2 linked regions of the Callithrix jacchus genome follow. The protein of the gene in region 1 interacts with the protein of each later gene in a pairwise test. Links are inferred from orthologs where the notes say so. Each region holds a gene or a part of one and is shown on either strand. Other genes may lie near its edges. The genes, in order: ARL6IP1 and SNX10.

Region 1 (10,351 bases):
TGTTAATTTACTTTTACCCTTATTCTAAGAGCAAGTTGAGTTGAACTGAATCTTCCTTGTCCTAGTAACATTGTATAAATAGTGGCTTCTCTGTACAAAAGGTTGTAATGCCTCCTGATGGATATAATTTTGTGACTGTATTTAAAAGTTGAATAAATCACACCAGCTTCCTGAAAATGTTCATAATGCATCTTTTGGAAAACAAAAATACATGCCTACTTTGTGCATATTTGCATTAACATGGCAAAGATTGTATGAAATACCTGTTTTTCAGAAAATAAAGATTCAGTCGCAGAAGATACAGCATTTAAGTTCTGAATTTATTGGTCAAAGTAGATTCTAGAAAACTTGGAACCTTTTGGAACCTGGGTAGCTTTAAAAAAACAAACAAGAAAACAGTCTCCCTGTGTTGCCCAGGCCGATCTTGAACTCCTGGGCTCAAGTTATCCTCCATCTTTGGTTTCCCAAAGTGCTGGGATTACAGTCCTGAGCCAAGCCAAGCCTAGCCATTTTTTTCTGAATAGCATTAATACCTCAAAAAAAAAAAAAAACCCCACAAAAAACCCCTAAATTCTCAGAAAAGTAATTATTTTACTCTCAAACTTCTGTTGTATTTTTGAACAGTGGAAATTTTACTTCAATGATAAAATTCTGCTTTAAGGTCCAATTTATAAAGCTTAATTTTGGCAATATTTAAAAACAGAATTCCCATAGTTCAATAGTGACAGATGCATTCCTTGTGTGAAACCTCTGAAAGAAAATAGAAAATGTCCAGCAGGCTTTGTATCTTGAAGATTGCATTTGGTGCTGCTTGATGATGTTAGGATTTATGTTAACTGCTTAGTCATCTGGCACATTTCAAAAGATCACATCCTGTCTCAGTAGGAAAAAAAAAAGCTCTAAAGAAAGCTACCTTAAGGGTGGGTGTTTTTAATCATTAGACCAATAGGAAATTTAGTGAGAGATCATTTGAAAATAGGTATGGGAACACATTATTTGTTAAGTAACAAAAATAAATACTAAGTGAAGAAACTGCTGCTTGAGTTGGTTCTGTTTTTTCACCTACTCTATTCCACATGCTGGTATTAACAAGTCTTAAGTAGTACGTGGAAAACTTGGGTGAAAACGAGAAGCGTACTCTGCAGCAAAAGCTGGTTTCCCAAAGTAGAAATGTCAGTTTGTTTTTTTTTTGTTTGAGACAGAGTCTTGTTTCATAGCCAGGCAGGCACCAGGCTGGAGTGCAGTGGTACGATCTCGGCTCACTGCAACCTCCCCCTCCCGGGTTCAAGCAGTTCTCCTGTTTCAGCCTCCAGAGTAGTTGGGACTACAGGCACGCGCCACCACACATAGCTAATGAAATGTCAGCTTTAAACCTAATAACCCATAGTCTCTCTTTTGGAAGTGGCTATTACTGTAGGTCTAGCAAGATTATGCACCCAGTGCTCAACATGTTCATGAATTATGTGGCTGCAGATTGCCTGGATCTTTTTATTTGTTTGTTTTGAGACAGTTTTTGCACTATCGCCCAACCTGGAGTGCAGTAGGTGCAATCAAGTCACTGCAGCCTCAATCTCCTGGGCTCAAGGGATTCCTTTTTTTTTTTTTTTGAGACGGAGTTTCGCTCTTGTTACCCAGGCTGGAGTGCAATGGCGCGATCTCGGCTCACCGCAACCTCCGCCTCCTGGGTTCAAGCAATTCTCCTGCCTCAGCCTCCCAAGTAGCTGGGACTACAGGTGTGTGCCATCACGCCCAGCTAATTTTTTTGTATTTTTAGTAGAGACGGGTTTTCACCTTGTTTGACCAGGCTGGTCTCGATCTCTTGACCTCGTGATCCACCTGCCTCGGCCTCCCAGGGATTCCTTTTTTTTTTTTTCTTCTTCGAGGGTGTGAAGAAGAACCTGCTCGTCTCAGACTCCATATCTTTAAAATCTTCCCAAATAGCGTCTCTGTCAACTGGCTGTATCCTGCCTGTAAAACTTCTTTTCCCCAACATTCTCCAGAGTGGCAATTTATTGAACAGTCAGCTTCCGTTACAAAGGCTTTTTTTCTCACGTGCTTCTCCCTGATTCAGATGTTTCACTCCACCTTCCCCCAAAAGACCCACAGCAAACCAACACCCTTCCATGAAATTCACAGTGCTCCTTCCCTTGCCCAGCTCTCTTAGGGGCAGTATGCGGCCTGCAGCTGTGTTCTCTCACATTGATGACTTCTTGAACTTTTAAGAACCTGGTGGTTACTTAAGGAACATTTTAAAAATAAATTTAAATTCAATGGCACAATAGGTAAGAGATTGGAAGTTAAAACCTGTATAAAAGGATAAAAGGTTGGAAGTTGCGGTGGCTCACGCCTGTAATCCCAGCACTTTGGGAGGCCGAGGCAGGTGGATCAAGAGGTCAAGAGATCAAGACCAACCTGGTCAACATGGTCAACCGCCTCTACTAAAATACAAAAAAAAAAAAAAAAAAAATTAGCTGGGCATGGTGGCGTGTGCCTGTAATCCCAGCTACTCAGGAGGCTGAGGCGGGAGAATTGCTTGAACCCAGGAGGCGGAGGTTGCGGTGAGCCAAGATCGCGCCATTGCACTGCAGCCTGGGTAACAAGAGCGAAACTCCGCCTCGGAAAAAAAAAGGTTGGAAGTTAAAACTATAGTTAATTCACCTGAAACCTGATCAGGACAGCATTTGGCATGATTCTGTTTGTATTGAAAAATAAAAAATTGGCCGGGCGCGGTGGCTACTGCACTCCAACCTGGGCAACAGAGTGAGGCTCTGTCTCCAAAGAAAAAAAAAAAGCACTTGTTAACTGCATTTGAAATCCTGGATAGAAAACATGTACAAGTGTCTCAACACAGTTGCTAAGCTGCTGACTTCTAATCTTCTAATGGTAGAAAAGTCGTATCAGAACTATCCTTTTGGCCGGGCGCGGCAGCTCACGCCTGTAATCCCACCACTTTGAGAGGCCAAGGCGGGTGGATCTCTTGAGGTCAGGAATTTGAGACCAGCCTGGCCAACATGGTGAAACCCCGTCTCTACTAAAATACAAAAATTGGCCGGGCATGGAGGCAGGCGCCTGTAATTCCCGCTACTCCGGAGGCTGAGGCGTGAGCATCACTTGAACCCGGGAGATGGAGGCTACAGTGAGCAGAGATCGCGCTAATGTACCCCAGCCTGGGCAATGGAGCGAGATTCCCCCGTCTCAAAAAACAAAAAATCCTTTTGGAAAGGGAGCGCGTAGTTTAAGTAACTTAAGCACCCACGTATAATAAGCCACTTAGAGGGCGGTGCATTTTTCACACGTTCTCAAACCAGGCCTGGGTTTTTCCACTAAGGCCTTATTTCTACTGGGTAGAAGAGAAACATTGCAGCAAAATCTACACAAAGAGCTCTTTTCATTTGTCCTCAAAACCTCGCAGGGCTGGGCGCGGTGGCTCAAGCCTGTAATCCCAGCACTTTGGGAGGCCGAGGCGGGTAGATCACAAGGTCAAGAGATCGAGACCACCCTGGTCAACTTGGTGAAACCCCGTCTCTACTAAAAATACAAAAAATTAGCTGGGCATGGTGGTGCGTGCCTGTAATCCCAGCTACTCAGGAGGCTGAGGCAGGAGAATTGCCTGAACCCAGGAGGCGGAGGTTGTGGTGAGCCGAAATCGCGCCATTGCACTCCAGCCTGGGTAACAAGAGCGGAACTGCGTCTCAAAAAAAAAAAAAAAAAAACCTCGCGAGTCGCAAATCGGGGCTAAACGGCTCAGGTGCCTGACGAAGGCACCGGACCGTAGAGGGAGTGGATCCCAGTCGCCTAGGGGCCACGAATAGGTTAAGTGTCGCAGGCCCGGCGTCCTCCGCTTCAGGCGGCGCGGTATCTCTCCGAGGAGCTCTTTTTTCGGAGAGGCTCCTGGGCTGCGAGAGCCAGACAAAGAGGGTTAGAAAGCGGCCGCGGAGGCCGGAACTGGGGAACCATTGCGGGACAGCGCCCCCTGCGGCGGCCGTTGAACCGCTACCGACAGACCTGGGTGGGATGTCGCGCAGTCTCTGAACGCTGATTGGCCACTCCGTGTCCCCTCCCCTCGGCCCGACACCGCCTCTGTCTCCTTTGACCTCGATTTCAAGCCATGCGCTGAACTTCGGTTGGTCCGGCTTCCCGGAGGCGTGAGCTCAGCCTGTCCAATGAGGAGCGAGTATCGCGGGGGCTGTCGGGAAGGGCAGACAACCCATATAAGCGGTCTGCGGGGCGTTCCCGTGCGCTGCGGTCGCCGTGCGAGTCCTGGTAGGAGGTTTCGCTGGAAGGTGGCCTGAGCTTAAGAGACAGCATCTCAGAGACGATGGCGGAGGGAGATAATCGCAGCTCCAACCTGCTGGTGAGTCCTGGCTGCCTGTTCCCCGGGAGCCAAGCGAGGCCGCCGGACGTCCGTGGGCTCAAACGCCGCGGCCTCTTCCCTGTCACCCGCCGCGGGCCCGTCCCTTCTCTCCTGGCGCAGGCGACGATGCCTGGCCCTGGGTGTCGATCCCTGACCTTTCCTGGGGACGGTGCTCGACGGGGCGAGGAGGGCGGGTGATTCCTAACCGCCAATAGGGGTCGAGGAGGAAGTGGGAGGCCTGGGGCTGCGACACTAGCCTGGGGTGCCGCAGGGGGCAGAAGGCCTCTTGGGGCCTCTCCAGCGCTTTCGGGGCCCAGGCCCCAGCCGTATTCGGCTTTCCCCGTCTTTGATCTTAACCTGGCTGTGCTTGCTTTCTTTTCCCCCTAAAGCTTGGAAGGATAGAAGGTCAAAAGGCTACTGCTGAGAATTTCTGTTAGAGCTGCTACAACTTAAAACCGCAGGGAGGCTGCGAGCTCACCGTGGGGAACTGAGAGAGTGGGGTACAGCTGAACAGACAATGGCATGTCTTGGCGTTTGTCTGGAATTTGGAAGTCTGGCGGGGGTGGGGTCACAGGACGACTGGAAACAACTTGAGAGTAATAAGCGGGGATCCGAAGGAACTGCAGTGATGTTAGGTATCATAGGCGGGTAAATTTCATTTGTTACGAATTTAAGTGCACCATGTAGGCAGAAAAAAGATACCCTTACATATTCTCGGTTACCCTTCCTTGTGACTGCAGGTCACACACCAGCAATGAAAAACGGAACCAAAGAACTTAATTTTGGGCTTTTGAACTTCCAAGAGCCCAGGTGCTGGCCAATGACGTGACTTCAGGGCAGTTTTGATTGTGCATTATTTTCACTTCATATTTGCTTTTAGAAATGCTTGGTTTGTTCCTTTAAACACACGCCTTCTAACATAGTTCCCAGCATGGTTCCTTTTAAGAGGATTAATTGAAGCACAAAGAAGTTGCTCATGCCCTGTTGAAATGACAAATCCTGGGCTAGGGCTCTTGCTTTGCAGCAAAGCAGTATAACAATAAGGAAAGCAAAGCCTTTGGTCTTGGGTTTCCTGGATGCAAGTCTGTTAACCTCTGTTTATCTGTTTCCTCCTCTAAAATGGGGATAGTAATAGCACCTTTTTTAGGGTTGTTGGGAAGATTAATTGAAGTATAAATATAAAATGCTCAGCAGAGTTCCCACTGCTGGGAGGTAGCCTCTTCTTTCATTAGTATTAAGCATGGAAATAAAGTCAAAAATATTGAGATCAAAAGAGTGGTCAGCGTGGCACAGATAGAGTGGCTTTGTTAAGATGAAGTGTCTTTGTTAAGATTCTGTCATTTGCATGCTTCCCAGTGAATGACATTTATAGAGACAAGGTCTCAGGCCAGGCTAGTCCCATACTCTTGAGGCTCAAACAATCCTCCAGTCTCTTCCTCCTAAAGTGCTGGGATTATAGGTGTCAGCCACTGCATCCAGACTCAACACAAACACTTGGGTTTCTTCTAATTTTTTCTTCCTGTATCAAAACGAGTTTTCAGGGCTTTTGCCACATTAGCTCATCCTAAAGGTCCACTTTCGGCTGTCAGAGTCATAGAGAAATTTGAAGTATAACCAGAATGACCTCCTAAGTGGTAGGAAACACTGTACTGAGGAGATACATTGAGCCTAATATGCCACTTTAATTTAGTGAAAGTAGTTTTCCTTAATTGTGCAATGAATGCCAACATCTGAGTGATTCCATTACACAAAGAGCTATTTTAGAAATTGAATGCTGTTCAGGAAAGTCTTTCCTAATGGATTTAGAAGGGTTTAAATCAATAAGATGACAAAACAGATCAATTCTAACCATCCGAAATAAACAAACTTAAAGCAATTTCGTTTTTATTAATACTCTAGGCACTGCCGCATGATTCCCTGTATGACTTTAAGAAAGTAAACTATTTTGAGCTCACTTTCTTTAATTGTAAAATGAGTCTAATTATCCCTACCTTGTGGCTCTCTATAAGGATCAAGTTACATCATGTATGTAAAGAATAGCCCAGTGCTTGGACCAGAAAAGTGACCATTAAAAGGATATTTAGGCTGGGCCTGGTAGATCACTTGAGATCGAGAGTTCAAGACCAGCCTGGCTGACATGGTGAAACCCCCATCTGTACAAAAAATTAGCCGGGTGTGGTGGCATGTGCCTGTAGTCCCAACTACTCCGGAGGCTGAGGTAGGAAAATTGCTTGAACCTGTGAGGCAGAAGCTTCATCTCACCACTGCATTCCAGCCTGGGTGACAGAGCAAGACTCCAGAAAACAACAACAACAACAAAAAAACCATTGGGTTTTCATCTTTGCAATTGCAGTTTTTCAGATACCAACTTGCTTTAAAATGGCAATTTGGTTAAGAGGTTATTTTTATGTATTTGGAGCCTTAAAATAATTGAATTTTGTGAACCACAAAGATGTTGAGAGTGGTAAAACAATTGCTTTAAATGTTGGCGGTATTTAGGCTGCAGAGACTGCAAGTCTGGAAGAACAGCTGCAAGGATGGGGAGAAGTGATGCTGATGGCTGATAGAGTCCTTCGATGGGAAAGAGCCTGGTTTCCACCTGCCATCATGGGTGTGGTTTCTTTGGTGTTTCTGTAAGTGAACTATCAGATTACTACGGGTTGTGTTTCTTGTTAATAAAAGCCTTTTAATATATAGCTTTCATTTGTGGGTGTGTCTTAAGTCTTTTGTAATATATAACCCAGAAAGAATGTGTTTTCTTATAGGCACTTCTAGTTTCCAGAATTTGTAGTACTTACATAAAGTAAGTACTTTTGGTGACCTAAAGCACTTGGGTAAATCAGTGACTCTCAAACTTATCCTTACACTTTTTTTTTTTTTTTTTTTTTTAATTTAAGTTCTGGGATACACGTGCAGAACATGCAGGTTTGTTACATAGATATTACATGTGCCATGGTGGTTTGCTGTACCCATCAACCTGTCATCTACATTAGGTATTTCTCCTAATGCTATCCCTTCCTTGGTCTCCCACTCCCCTAAACTATTAAAAAGTACTGAGAACTCCAGGCCGGGCGCAGTGGCTCAGGCCTGTAATCCCAGCACTTTGGGAGGCTGAGGTGGGTGGGTCACAAGGTCAGGAGATGAAGACCATCCTGGCTAACATGGTGAAAGCCCATCTCTACTAAAAATACAAAAAATTAGCCAGGCGTGGTGGCATACTCCTATAATTCCAGCTGCTCAGGAGGCTGAGGCAGGAGAATCACTTGAACCTGGGAGGTGGAGGTTGCAGTAAGCCGAGATCGTGCCACTGCACTCTCCAGCCTGGGTGACAGAGTGAGACTCCGCCTCAAGAAAAAAAAAAAAATTACTGAGAACTCCAAAGAGTGTTTGTCCATTGATATTTACTTAACCATTGCAGCTGTGATATCAGCATGTCACCAAGCATCTGGAAAGCCACTTGTGAAAAAATTAGAAAAAAAATGGCAAATATCTCTGAGAAGCAGTGGATTAAGTGAATAATTAAGTTAGTTCTGTTTAGTTAGGAATAATAATGACTATGTTTTTCTAAACTTTATTGATTTTTTTAACAGGATTATCTACTATCTAGACCCATCTGTTCTTTCTGGCGTTTCCTGTTTTGTTATGTTTTTGTGCTTGGCTGACTACCTCGTTCCCATTCTAGCGCCTAGAATTTTTGGCTCCAATAAATGGTAGGTAGCATAATGATTTGGCAGTCTAATTTCTGTGTAGTTACTGAACGTGGTGGCTGTGATTAGTATGCCGTAAATAAGCAGAGATAATTTTCTAACCTCAGACACCTAAGCATCAGATGTATTGCTTTCATGTGAAGAATGTCTTAACTGATTTGAATATGAATATGAACTATGAGTTTTCTGTTCTTTTATGGTAACTGTACATATACATTTTTACAGTTCCGTTGATATAATAGCCAGGCACAGTGTCTCACGCCTGTAATCCCAGCACTTTGGGAGGCCGAGGCAGGTGGATCACCTGAGGTTGGGAGTTCGAGACCAGCCTGACCAACATGGAGAAACTTTGTCTCTACTAAAAATACAAAATTAGTCAGGCATGGTGGCATGTGCCTGTAATCCCAGCTACTCCAGAGGCTGAGGCAGGAGAATCGCTTTAACCCAAGAGGTCACCTCTTGGGTTACCCAGGCTGGAGTGCAGTGCACTCCAGCCTGGGTAACAAGAGGGAAACTCTGTATAAAAAAAAAAAAAAAAAAAGATAGTATAATAACTTTACAAATTATTTTCGAATGAATACAGAAAAGGAAATTGGTAGATTTTCATTCACATTCGTTCAGCAATTATTTATTAAATGTCTACAATTATTTATTAAATGGCAGACACTGTTAAGTACTGTGAAATATTTTGACTTTTAAGTAGATTTTGTGTTAAGGCTGAGATACTTAGTGAAGCAGTGGAATTAATAAAGTGGATTAACAAAGGAATACCAAGTGTTTCTGAAGTTGTTCAAACTGGATACACATGAGTTGCTGATTTTATTTATGCCATTCTGAAATGGTTGCTTAAGAACTCAGATATAGTTAACTGGATAAGGATCATATTATTTAAAAGTATTTTAACTTCCTGTAGCATGTTGAATTTTGATTCAAATAATCAGCCAAAATAGACGTTGGAATACATTTTTTTCTTCTCAGCTGCTGTTCTCCCTTGGCTGTTTATTTTATTTGGTTAGTATTCTCTTTGTGCCTTTGGTTGGTTGTTTCTCAGAGGATAGCAAATTGCAAAATAATTCTTTAAATATAATGATTTTAAATGTGGACCTTAGGGATCTTTAGGAACAAATTCAAAGTTTGCTTATTACCATATAATTAACAATGTTTGTTTAAAGTTGTTTCCCCCAACAACAGAATGGATTCATGTTAGGAACTATCCTTTGAATTGTTTTTCACTTGTGGTAATGAATCAATGCTGTGGCTTTTTTGGGCAAGTTTCTGGATGTTCAATGTAACAGAGTTAGCAAAGGAAATAAACCACTAACCTTGGCCTTCTTAGCCAGATGACATTCCAGTCTGCTAATTTATAACTCCTAGAGGAAACTTCAGAAATAGCCGCTGATTGTTTCATGGTGTGCCTCAGTTATTGATAGAGCAAATTTTGTTTCTTTTTTGATCTTATAGGGGAAAAGAACACTCTTTTGCATAGCCACAATCTAGCCTTGACCATGGGCAACAAATAATGTCTAACTGTTAAAAAGAAGTTCCAGGGCTCAGCAGAAATCCCTCTATCTGTCACTGCAGTTTTGCAGAGATGAGGGCTACAGGAGAGAAGGCAACACATCCCTCAGCACAGGCCTACGTAATAATAGCAGCCATTAGAGCTGTGTAGCGAAGACAGTGCAAAGGCAATTAAAAAAAAAAAAAACAAGAAAACATTATAAATACAAAAGGTTTTCTTGGAGGGTCTCTTGTTGGCTTTTTACTGCTGTGTGTGTTGTTCGTTGATTATGTTTTCTTTCCCTAGGACTAAGTTTATAAAGAAGAATTTAGATTTGAGCTTACTGCTGCCTTGTCATCAAATGTATGGGGCCCAGTTGGGGGTGTTACGTGTTAAATGCTAGTAGTTAGTATGTTACTGAAGAGTGTTCAAATACAGCTGTTTGGTTGGATTCTGATAGATGTAGTGCAGAATTTATTTGGATCTAAAAAATTATTTAGGAATACATGGATTTCTTTCTTTCTTTCTTACTTTTTTTTTTTTTTTTGAGACGGAGTTTCACTCTTGTTACCCAGGCTGGAATGCAATGGTGTGATCTCGGCTCACCGCAACCTCCGCCTTCTGGGTTCAGGCAATTCTCTTGCCTCAGCCTCCCGAGTAGCTGGGATTACAGGCACACGCCACCATGCTCAGCTAATTTTTTGTATTTTTAGTAGAGATGGAGTTTCACCGTGTTGACCAGGATGGTCTCGATCTCTTGACCTCGTGATCCACCCGCCTCGGCCTCCCAAA
Region 2 (10,356 bases), on another chromosome or scaffold:
GAGCACTCTCCCCCCCATGGCTGGTGACTCAGCATTCTCCCAGGCTTTGCCTCCTATCCCTTCCTTGGAGCAGTCTCCCTCCAGTCTACCTTCCTGCTTTTCTTTTTTCTTTTTCTTTTCTTTTCTTTTTTTTTTTTTTTGAGACAGAGTCTCTGTCACCCGGGCTGGAGTGCAGTGGCATGGCCTCGGTCCACTACAACCTCTGCCTTCTGGGTTTAAGCAATTCTCCCATCTCAGCCTCCCACGTAGCTGAGACTATAGGCACGTGCCACCATACCCAGCTAATTTTTTTGTTTTTTTCAGTAGAGATGGGGTTTCACCATGTTGGCCAGGCTGATCTCGAATTCCTGACCTCATGATCCTCCTGCCTCGGCCTCCCAAAGTGCTGGGACTATAGGCGTGAGCCACCATGTCTGGCATTCCTGAATTCTCCCTCCTTCGGGTAGCAGCCTAGGGGAATTTCTGTCATTAGTTTCAGGTTTGCCCCCTTTGTCTCCTGGGCTTGGTTTCATACAACATAGGCAAGGTTTGCCCTTCTACCTGCAGCCTGGCTTCCCAAGCCTCCATGCCAGCCTCCTGAGCCCCTCTCTGACTGGCAGGAGGGTAGGAGAGCCCTCATGGCAGCCCGACTGAGTGTCCCTCCTTTAGCGGTACCCATTGCCCTGCCTGCTGTGCTGCAGTGCACATCATCACTTGGTGAGGCTGATGAAGTGAGGAAGCAGCATAGGGGCCTGTCTAGGCAGCGTGCATACACACACACACGCACACACACACACGAGTCACACAGTCACACAGTCACATGGTCCCAGCTCACCCTGCCCAAATTGAAAGCACTAAACAATTTCCTTTAGAGAATCTTTCCGGAAAGTCCTTTGCTAGCTCTCACATCCTTAATTTCAGCCCTGTCTTTGGCTTCAGGTTCTCCTCAGCGTCCAGACCACTTGCATCACTTAACCCTAGGCTGGGCTCCCCCCATTTTCAAAGGCAGTGTTTAGGTTTGTTTTTTAGCTTTTAAAAATTGGGCTAGACAAGCATGGTTGTGTGTGTGCCTATGGTCCCAGGTACTCAGGAGGCTGAGGTGGGAGGATCGCTTGAGCCCAGGAGTCAGGGGTTCTAGTGAGCTAAGATCATGCCACTGCACTTTAGCCCAGGTGACAGAGCAAGACCCTATCTCAAACCAAAAACAAAAAACCAGAAAAATTGGCTGGGCACTATGGCTCATGCCTGTAATCCCAGCACTTTGAGAGGCCAAGATGGTTGGATTACTTGAGGTCAGGAGTTCGAGACCAGCCTGGCCAAAATGGGAAAACCCCATCTCTACTAAAAATACCAAAATTAGCCAGGTGTAGTAGCACACGTCTGTAGTTCCAGCTACTTGGGTGGCTGAGGCACAAGAATCTCTTGAACCTGGGATGTGGAGGTTGCAGTGAGCTGAGATCGTGCTGCTACACTCCAGCCTGGGTGACAGAGTGAGAATCTGTCTCAGAAGAAAACCCACGAAAAACGAAAAAACTGGGCTATAATATGTACAGTAAAATGCATAAGGTGTCCTAATCTTATGTATGTAGCTCAATGGATTTTTTTGTTTGTTTGTTTTAATAGAGACAGGTCTCTCTTTGTTGCCTAGACTGGTCTTCAACTTCTGGCTTCAAGTGATCCTCCTGCCTCAGCCTCCCAAAGAACTGGGATTACATGCATGAGCCACTGAGCATGGCCTAAATGGATTTTTATACACCTGTGTAACTACCACTCAGATCAAAGTATAGACGTTTCTGGCTTCCCAGAAGGTACCTTGTGCCCCTTTCCAGTCAGTCCCCCTCACTTCCACCCCCAGAGGTGACCTTACACAATACCTAGACCATGCATACTTTTTCCATCTTGTACTAAGTAATACTGAGACCAAGCTGCTTGCTCCAGGAAATACCCGCCCACGAACTTAATGAAACTGCAAGGCTAAGGGCATAGTTCCCATAGGACTGCCCTTGCCTCCAACACCAATTGCAAGCTTGGGGCTTTCCCAAACCACTTTCAAGTTTAATAATTCACTAGAAAAACAGAACTCAGAGCTGTTATCCTCACAGATACTACTTATTATAGAAAAAGAACGCAAATGAGAACCAGGCAAAGTAAGAGCTGGACACATAGGCAGTCAGGTGGGGTCCAAGGGCGGAGCTTCTGGTCATCCTACCAAAGGAGTCATGGGTAGAGTAACCCTCTCAGCACCATGTGTGACAGTGTGCAGAGTCACTTGGTATAGCTAGAATGATCGCCTGCTTCAAATCCATTGCTCTTAGAACAAAGTCAAAACACCTTCACATGGTCTCTAGCACTCTGCAAGATCCAAACCTGCTTCTTTCTCCAAACTTCTCTCTTGCGCCCCACATGCCACTCAAGTGCACTTCTTGTTCCTCATTTCAGAGCTTATTTTAGAGCCTTGAATGTTCCATGTGCTCTCACCCCCATGGACTTTTACACATGTTTTTTTCCACTGCCTGGAGTAATCTCTTCCCCTAGACTTCACACTGTATTGACTGGCTAACTTCTCCTTATCCTAGAAGTAAAGAAGCAGCTTTCTAAACCTTTAACTATAAAAGATATATTTATCTAGTCACCTCCCCAGCAGCAGCCTGTCGTCAATGCCAGTTAGAAGTAGAGGGGGTTTAGGTCAAGCCTTTCAATATCTTAGTGTCTGGTTGTTTAGTGGAAAGTAATTCAGGTTCCACCTAATGGAATATGTAAGCACCAAATGCAGTAGGACTGATTGTTTCGGGATCTAGACTGAGGGTACACTCCTCTCAGCACCCACAGCAGACATTACTAATTAATCATGAGGTTGGCACATGAATTGAGATTTATTTACCATCCTTGTACAAGATTCATACAGCCTGGGAGTGACATCTTGGTTCTATCTAATTGGTAGTATTAACTTTAACATTTAGTAATTTTTTTTAACATTTTGGGGGTGAGGAATCAAATGTAGTCGCTGTTGTTAAAACAGCTTTATGACTGTAATACATCTAGAAAGAGGAGAAAAGGGAGTGAGAATCTCCCTTGTTAGTTAAACATGTTCCATTTGCACGTTGGTTTGAATTCCCAGGAGAGCAGTATCCTAGCTGATGGATCTTCTCCATAAAAAGGCCTTGGCATTGGGCCATTGTGAAATTAAAATGAATTCAGATTCATTCATGCGTGCAACTTTAATTTACAATTAAAATATTATGGTTACATATTTTAATAAGAATAATTAGATGGACCCAACTGAATCAACTCTTCTGTTTAATGAGACAGAACCCAGACTCCAAATGGAAAGGCAGGTGCCTGTGACAGGAAGCACGTTTCAGACAGTGTCTTTTGTGGAGCTAGGCATTTTCGTTCTTTTAATATTCGAATGTCCAGACTGAGCTGTTTGATTTTTCTGCCCTACTCAGGATGGTTGCCTCAGCTTCCCGGAACTCATCTTGTGGGGTGTATGTGTGAGCATTTGCTCCGGCTGGACACAGTCCATTTCATGGAGTTGGACATTCTCTCTCCTGGGCGCCTGTTATGCTGCTGCTCCCTCCATAAGGGCACTGTGCTCTTTCCTTGGCCCAGGGCTCACTTACTATAACTAAACTGTTCCTCCCTGTGTGATGTGACCTGAAAAGCAGGCTGAAACCTTTTTTGGATGTATGTGCGCATGCATGCATGTCTCCCCTGCTCTCCTGGATCATGATGGCTGCATTCTCCTTTTAGAGATTTATCCCTTTAAGACAAGTGCTTTTCCCCTTCCAAAATGCACATACTTCATAGTAGGAATAACAGCAGCTTCTAGGCACTACCAGTTGTTGATGCCTTAGCAAAGATACATCCATCAGTTCTTTGGCAGGGAATATGCTGAGTAGGGCAGGCCGGAGTGGGCCCCAGAGAGTTGCACAAACCATGAGGACCCCACCACTGAGGGAGGAGATGGGGTGCTATAGGGAGAGCAGGCAGGGAGGGATATGTTGCCATTTTGGATGAGCAGCCCCTAGGGTTAATATTAATATGTTCGAGATATGCTTATGCTGACCTGTGGTAATATTTTAGACTTGCTCTGTCTAGGAAAGCATGCAAGATATTGGGAAATGGACTGGACACTGACTGGGCTGCAACTGATGAATATAATTAACAAATAAATAGTATTATCTAGGATTCTGTGATGCTGGGTACTTCAATGGGAAGCAACAAGACAAAACATTTTCTCACTCCCCAAAACCTAAATTTGTTCCCCTCTCCCTCCTTTCTTCTTCCTTCCTTTTTCATCTCCCAGCCTCTCTACATCTTTTCTCAGTCTCTGTTATACTCGGTTATTAAGTGTTCCTATTTGAAGAAATAGTTAAGTTTCCACAAGAGGCAATTTACAGTCTTCTGTAAGCAAAGAAAAGTAGCTGGGAATATTGTCTTCACACATACACACTAGGTTTTAGAGAATGCTGCTGTCATTCTGAGCACTACATTTGTGTTACAGTTACTGTGAGGACTCTGATATTTTTTTCTGAGCCTGTCCCAGAGAGAGCTCTTCCTTCTTTTTTTTTTTTTTAACCCTTCTTCCAGATTTTAAAATAATTCACTGCAGAACATTTTGGAAAAGTGTACAGGAAAAATAAAACTTGGGGATATTTCTTTTTAGTCTTTTTCTATACATATGTATATGTCATTTTTAGAAAACTGAGATCATATAGAATTTATAGTTTAATATCTCATTCTTCCAGATTAGTGTTCTAACACATTTCAAGAAATACTTCACCAGCTCTGTTTAAATTAGAAGTGGCTTAAAAAAAGAAAGAATTAGTAAGCATAAATTCATCTTCACATTTGTTTAGAAATGAAAAAAGAATACCTTTATAGTGGAGAAATCTGACAAATACTTCCTCAGCCAGGTGATCACTGTTAACACCCATGGTGATGCTACGTTGATAGCATGTGCCCTTGAAGTGATAAAAATGGCACTTTACCCTCTTAAATGGGTGGCCTTCCTTCCAAAAACCTATGACATCAATCTAATAATGAGAAAAGCATCAGATAAATCAGAGACATTCAGAGACATTCAGCAAAATACCTACCAGGGCTCCTCAAATTGTCAAGGTCATGAAAAACAAGGAATACCCTAGAAACTGTCACAGACAAGAGGAGCCCAAGGAAACACAATGACTAAATATAATGAATGTATCTTGGGTGGGATTATGGAACAGATCAATGACATTAGGTGAAAACTAAAGAAATCTTAATAAAATATGGACTTCAGTTAATAATAATGTCAATATTGATTAATGAATTGTGATAAATGCAGCATACTGATATAAAATGTTAATAATAGGAGAAGTTGAGTGTGGGGTATATAGGACCTCTCTGTACCATCTTCATAATTTCTGTATATCTAAAACTGTTTAAAATAAAAAAGTTTATTTAAAAACAAATATCATTGACATGTATATGCTCACATAAAAAGATTTCTGTAAGATTGTACAGTGAATAAACCAGTAAACAAAATATACACCTATATAAATACTCCCATCAGTGTTAAAAAATTGCATGAAGCTGGGTGTGGTGGTACATGTCTGTAACTCCAGCTACTTGGCCAATGCAGGAGGATCACTTGAGCCTAGAAGTTCGAGGCTACAGTGAGCAATCATGAATAGCCACTGCATTCCACCCTATGCAACGGAGTGAGACCTCGCCTCTTAAACCCCCGAAACAAAAAATACACAAGGTAAAGATGATAATATAATGGTAGAGATGAAAATATAATGAACCCCCATGTATATACCTACCACCCAGCTTCAGCAATTTACTAACGCATTATTAACTCATAGCCAAGCTATACCCCTCCCCCACCTATTTCCTCCTGCTACCACAGTAAATTATTTGGAAACAAATTCTAGATATTATATAATTTCATCTGTAAATATTTCAGTATACATTTCTAACAAATGACCTTTTAAAAAATGGACCACATTATCTCATGTTAAATAATTAAACAATTGCTTCATATCATCAAATATTCAGTGTTCAAATTACCTTGATTATTTTGAAAAAAAATTATATAGCTGGTTGTTCTAATTATCTATTTAATTAGGATTCAGATAAGGACCACACATTGCATTTGGTTGATAAGATTGTTTAAAGTCTTTAATTCTCTCTTTTCTCCCTTTTGCAGTTTATTTGTTGAAGAAATTAACATAGTTTGCCTTATAGAGATTTTCATATTTTAGATTTTGCTGATTGCATCCTTGTGGATGCCAATTATTTCTTGTTGCAAAAGACGAGTTTTTTTTTTTTATTTTAACTGCACTTTTCCTAATGTGTTATGAGATATGAAAAGGTAACTCTTGCTGATTTGGGATACTACTTGTGTAAAGAAACTTGCAACATCATGAACTGTTACAAGTCATGTAAAAGGCAGGTCTAGCTAAATCTCATTCACAGTTGTTTATCCTGAAGTAATAAAAAGCTTTTCAAAAAATCATCATTCAGTACCACCAGAGGATGGTATTTAAACATACTCCATGCTATAGAGTGGCAAGTAATATCACTTGTCATATGTCTTTTAAGTTATTTGTTACAGCTGTTTTAGGAAATAAAGGAAGGTTATTTGATATATTCATTCTGCCTTTCCATTGTTATTTGTAAAGAATATAGCATGTAAAATATGCCAGATTTTAGTTGTGAGATTGTTATATGGGGGTCCTGAATAGCACTCTGGTGATTAAGACATTGGTAAATTCTATAATCATTAGTTGTATAGAAAAGTACCTAGTGCATTGTTGGTGCACAATATATTTTAAGTGAATGAATGAATGAACGAATGAGTCTCCAGTTTAAATACATGAATCTTTAAAGCACTACTTTGAAGTAGAAAAAAAATGTCCCAAGAAGGAAGAACAAACTGAGACAAGTTTACATTTTTATGATAGAAAATTCTCATCAAAGCTATGAAAAATTAATATTCACTTAACACCTAGACATTCTGCTTTATTAGCTTCTGTCTTTTGTGATATTTCTGTAATCTAAGTAAATATTTTTACAGTTAACACCTACTCATTTTTACTCTGCTACAAAGATTCAAGCTAGGCTATGATGGGAAATTTTAAAAACACATCTATCACAATGGCTAAAATAAAAAATAGTGTGGATCCTCATAGAAACTGTAATAGGTATGTATGCTATATCACCGTGGGGTTAATTTGTATTTTCCTGGTGTTTAATGATATTAAACATCTTTCCACATGATTTTTGCCGTCTGTATGCCCTCTTTGGGTGAAATGTGTCTTCATGTCTTTTGCCTGTATTCTAAATTGAATTCTGTTTTTTAAATATTGAGTTTTTAGAGTGAGTGAATGAGTTTATTTTGAGACAGGGTCTGTCTGTTGCTGAGGCTGGAGTGCAGTGGCGTGATCTCGGCTCACTGCAACCTCCCACCCACCCACCAGGCTCAAGCAATTGAGTCCCACCTCAGCTTCCTGAGTAGCTGGGACTACAAGTACAAGCCACTCCACTCAGCTAATTTTTAAATAATTTTTAAATGTTTCATAGAGATGGGGTTTCACCATGTTGCCCAGGCTGGTCTTGAACTCCTGAGCTCAAGGGATACTCCCACCTTGGCCTCCCAAAGTGCTGGGATTACAAGAGAAAGCCACCTCATCGGTCTAAGAGGTTATTTAAATATATATATATATATATTCTAAATGCAAGTCCTTTGTGGGATGTGTAATTTGCAAATATTTCTTCCAATTTGTAATGTGCTTTTTTTTTAACCTTATTCATGGTGTCTTTTGCAGAGCAAAGATTTTTAGTTTGATGAAGCTTAATTGATTATCCTTCTGTGGATTGCCTTTTTGAGATCAAGTCTAAGCACTCTTCTCCTAGTACTAGACTGAACGGTTTTCTCTGAATTTTTTTTTCTAAACGTTTTCTCTGATGCTTTATGTTTGACATTTACATCTGTGGTTTATTTAGTGTTGGGTTTTGTATAAGGTGCAAGCTTTAGGTTGAGGTTCATCTCTTGACCTATGGATGTCCAGTTGCTGCATAATCGTTTGTTGAGAGGCTTTTTCTTCTCCACTGAATTTTTTTTTTTTTTGCGCCTTTGTCAAATGAGCATATTTGTGTTGGTCTGTCTCTGGGTTTTCTGTTCTGCATTTCACTGATCAACTGTGTCTTAACATTGGGAAGAAGGCTTCCTCCCACTTTATTCTTTTTCAGAAATTTTTTGGCTATTCTAAGACCTTTCCTTTTCTATATAAATTTTAATATAAGCCCATCTGTGTCTTTAAAAAATTCTTGCTGAGATTTTTTTGATAGGAATTATGTTAAACTTACAGATCAATTGGGGGAGAATTTATCTCTTTACTATGTTGAGTCTTCCAATTTATGAACATAGTAGTCTCTGCTTTGATTTCTTTCAATAGCATCTTATGATTTTCAGTATAGAGAACCTCTGCCTTTTAAAAAATCTTACTTGTAACCAGTTGTTTAATTCTGAAACATTTAATATGCACTTACTGTGTGCTAGTACCATGCTTGGTGCTAGAAATGCAAAAATGAAATACAAAGCTTTAAGAACCCATAAGGACAGAGTTTGAAAAGAGCATGTTGTTTGAACTGGTATTTTAGCTAATAAAAGCGGAAAAAACTTCCACGTCCAAAACAATGCAATTACAGTAAAATTGGAAATTGCCTAATATTTATTATTGCTATAAAAATTGCTAGATAGAACATGTTTGAGAGTACAGTCTTTGAGACAAGACAGATCTGAGTTTGAAGCCTGGCTCAGCCTGGTCATTGACTTTGGGCAAGTTGCTTAAGCTTTAGAAGCCTCATTTTTAAAATTTGGAAAGTAGGATAAGAATATATTGAGCTCTGAGGGTTGTTGGAAAGATTGAAGGAAAACATTTGTGAAACAGTGCAATACCTGCCACATGTCAAGTGCCCTTGTATAAATACAATACAGTTATTTTTATTATAGTTTCATTTCATGTACGGGCTAAGAAAAAAAGGACAGGGTAGAAGTGGATTATGGTCAAGCCGGAATGGGGGAAAAACAGGGTACATTGAAATCAAAGGGTGATTATCTTAGGAGAATACAGGAATTAGATCTTCAAAGAGTCTAGGAGTCTGTCTTTCTTTAGAAGTCTTTTCACATGGAGAACAGTAGGGACAGTTAGTCTAAATTTTTAATTCCACTCTTCCTGGCTTTTTCATACTGCATATAGTCATTAGGCCCAAGAAGTCATTAAAGTGTTTAATAATGTTATTAAATAGACTAACTGCAGCTGCTGAAGCAATTTTCCTAGGAAATCCATATGATTCTAGGTAAGGGGCTGTGGAACTGTCCTCTGTGGCTGACAGCCTGTCAACATTCCCTTGAAGGATGGCAGGCAGTGTCGTGAGGGATGCGTCTAATTAAGAGATTAGAGGTGAACCTTGGCTTCCTGGGTGTGCTATTTGTAGCTGAGAGTATGGTGAAACTTCACTAATTCCTGCTAATTGCAGAGTGGGGGAGGGGGAGACCCATGTGAATTATAGAATATTTTAAAATAAATGTACTTTTATTACTTTCAAGTACATATTTTAACTCCAACTAGGCTAACAAATTGTTGCCTGGTGTAAGTCTTGGGGGACTAGGTTATTGAAGCTATCAGAAGGATTTTAAATTATTTCTATGTAAATAGGTGCTTCTGGAGTTCTTCCGGGTGCTGGAAGACAGTTTATTTTCCCAGATCTTAAATATTGCTCTTGTATCCTTATGCTGTTAATTGGCACATCCTTAGAGGAAGGGGTTTGTTAAATTAAGATAAACTTTAGACCAGCTGCTAAATAACTTATCATTAATTCATGGAGTCCAAGAATCCAAGTAGATGATGTTTTAATTTCAAGTGAAGTTTGATCTTCTTTCCCTGAAGGCAGTTTGTTTATTCCTGCAGGCATTTATTTATTCATTAAATGATACTAATAGAATGCATTGGATGTATCAGGCATTCAAGTCTTACAAGACAGCCTAAGCTGCCCTACAGGAGCTTAGCGCCTGTTAGAGGAGGCCTGCAGGTAATTACAGTACAGCACGGTAGGTCTGAGAAGGATTCCCAGGAAAAGTGGTGACCAAATTGCATTTGAAAAATGAATTGGAGTTAGCAAAAAGTAGTAGAGGAAAAGAGAAGATTAAAAAAAAAATTAAAAAGGGCAGTAGGGTGGCCCAGCAATCCAGGCAAAGAGAACAGCTTGGTCAAAGGCGTGGATGTGTGAAGTGGCATGTTGCATATGGGGACCTACACTTAGTCTTTGAAGATAAACAGAGTGAAAATCGTGAAAGGCTGTATTGTACTAGCTGAGGAGTTTGGA

What was found.
Region 2: the proteins of ARL6IP1 (region 1) and SNX10 interact in binary tests that used the Homo sapiens proteins (3 or more experiments, as listed by UniProt). The two-hybrid records come from large-scale screens. The link is inferred for Callithrix jacchus from reciprocal best matches to the Homo sapiens genes ARL6IP1 and SNX10.

The regions. Positions count from the first base shown.
Region 1 is NC_133513.1:20,240,509-20,250,859, reverse strand, and holds the start of ARL6IP1 (ADP-ribosylation factor-like protein 6-interacting protein 1), read left to right. Parts: upstream 1-4,237; 5' UTR 4,238-4,318; coding exon 4,319-4,354; intron 4,355-6,853; coding exon 6,854-6,987; intron 6,988-7,944; coding exon 7,945-8,064; intron 8,065-10,351. UniProt on the Homo sapiens protein: Positively regulates SLC1A1/EAAC1-mediated glutamate transport by increasing its affinity for glutamate in a PKC activity-dependent manner.
Region 2 is NC_133512.1:31,751,358-31,761,713, reverse strand, and holds the start of SNX10 (sorting nexin-10), read left to right. Parts: upstream 1-5,593; 5' UTR 5,594-5,674; coding exon 5,675-5,728; intron 5,729-10,356. UniProt on the Homo sapiens protein: Probable phosphoinositide-binding protein involved in protein sorting and membrane trafficking in endosomes. Plays a role in cilium biogenesis through regulation of the transport and the localization of proteins to the cilium.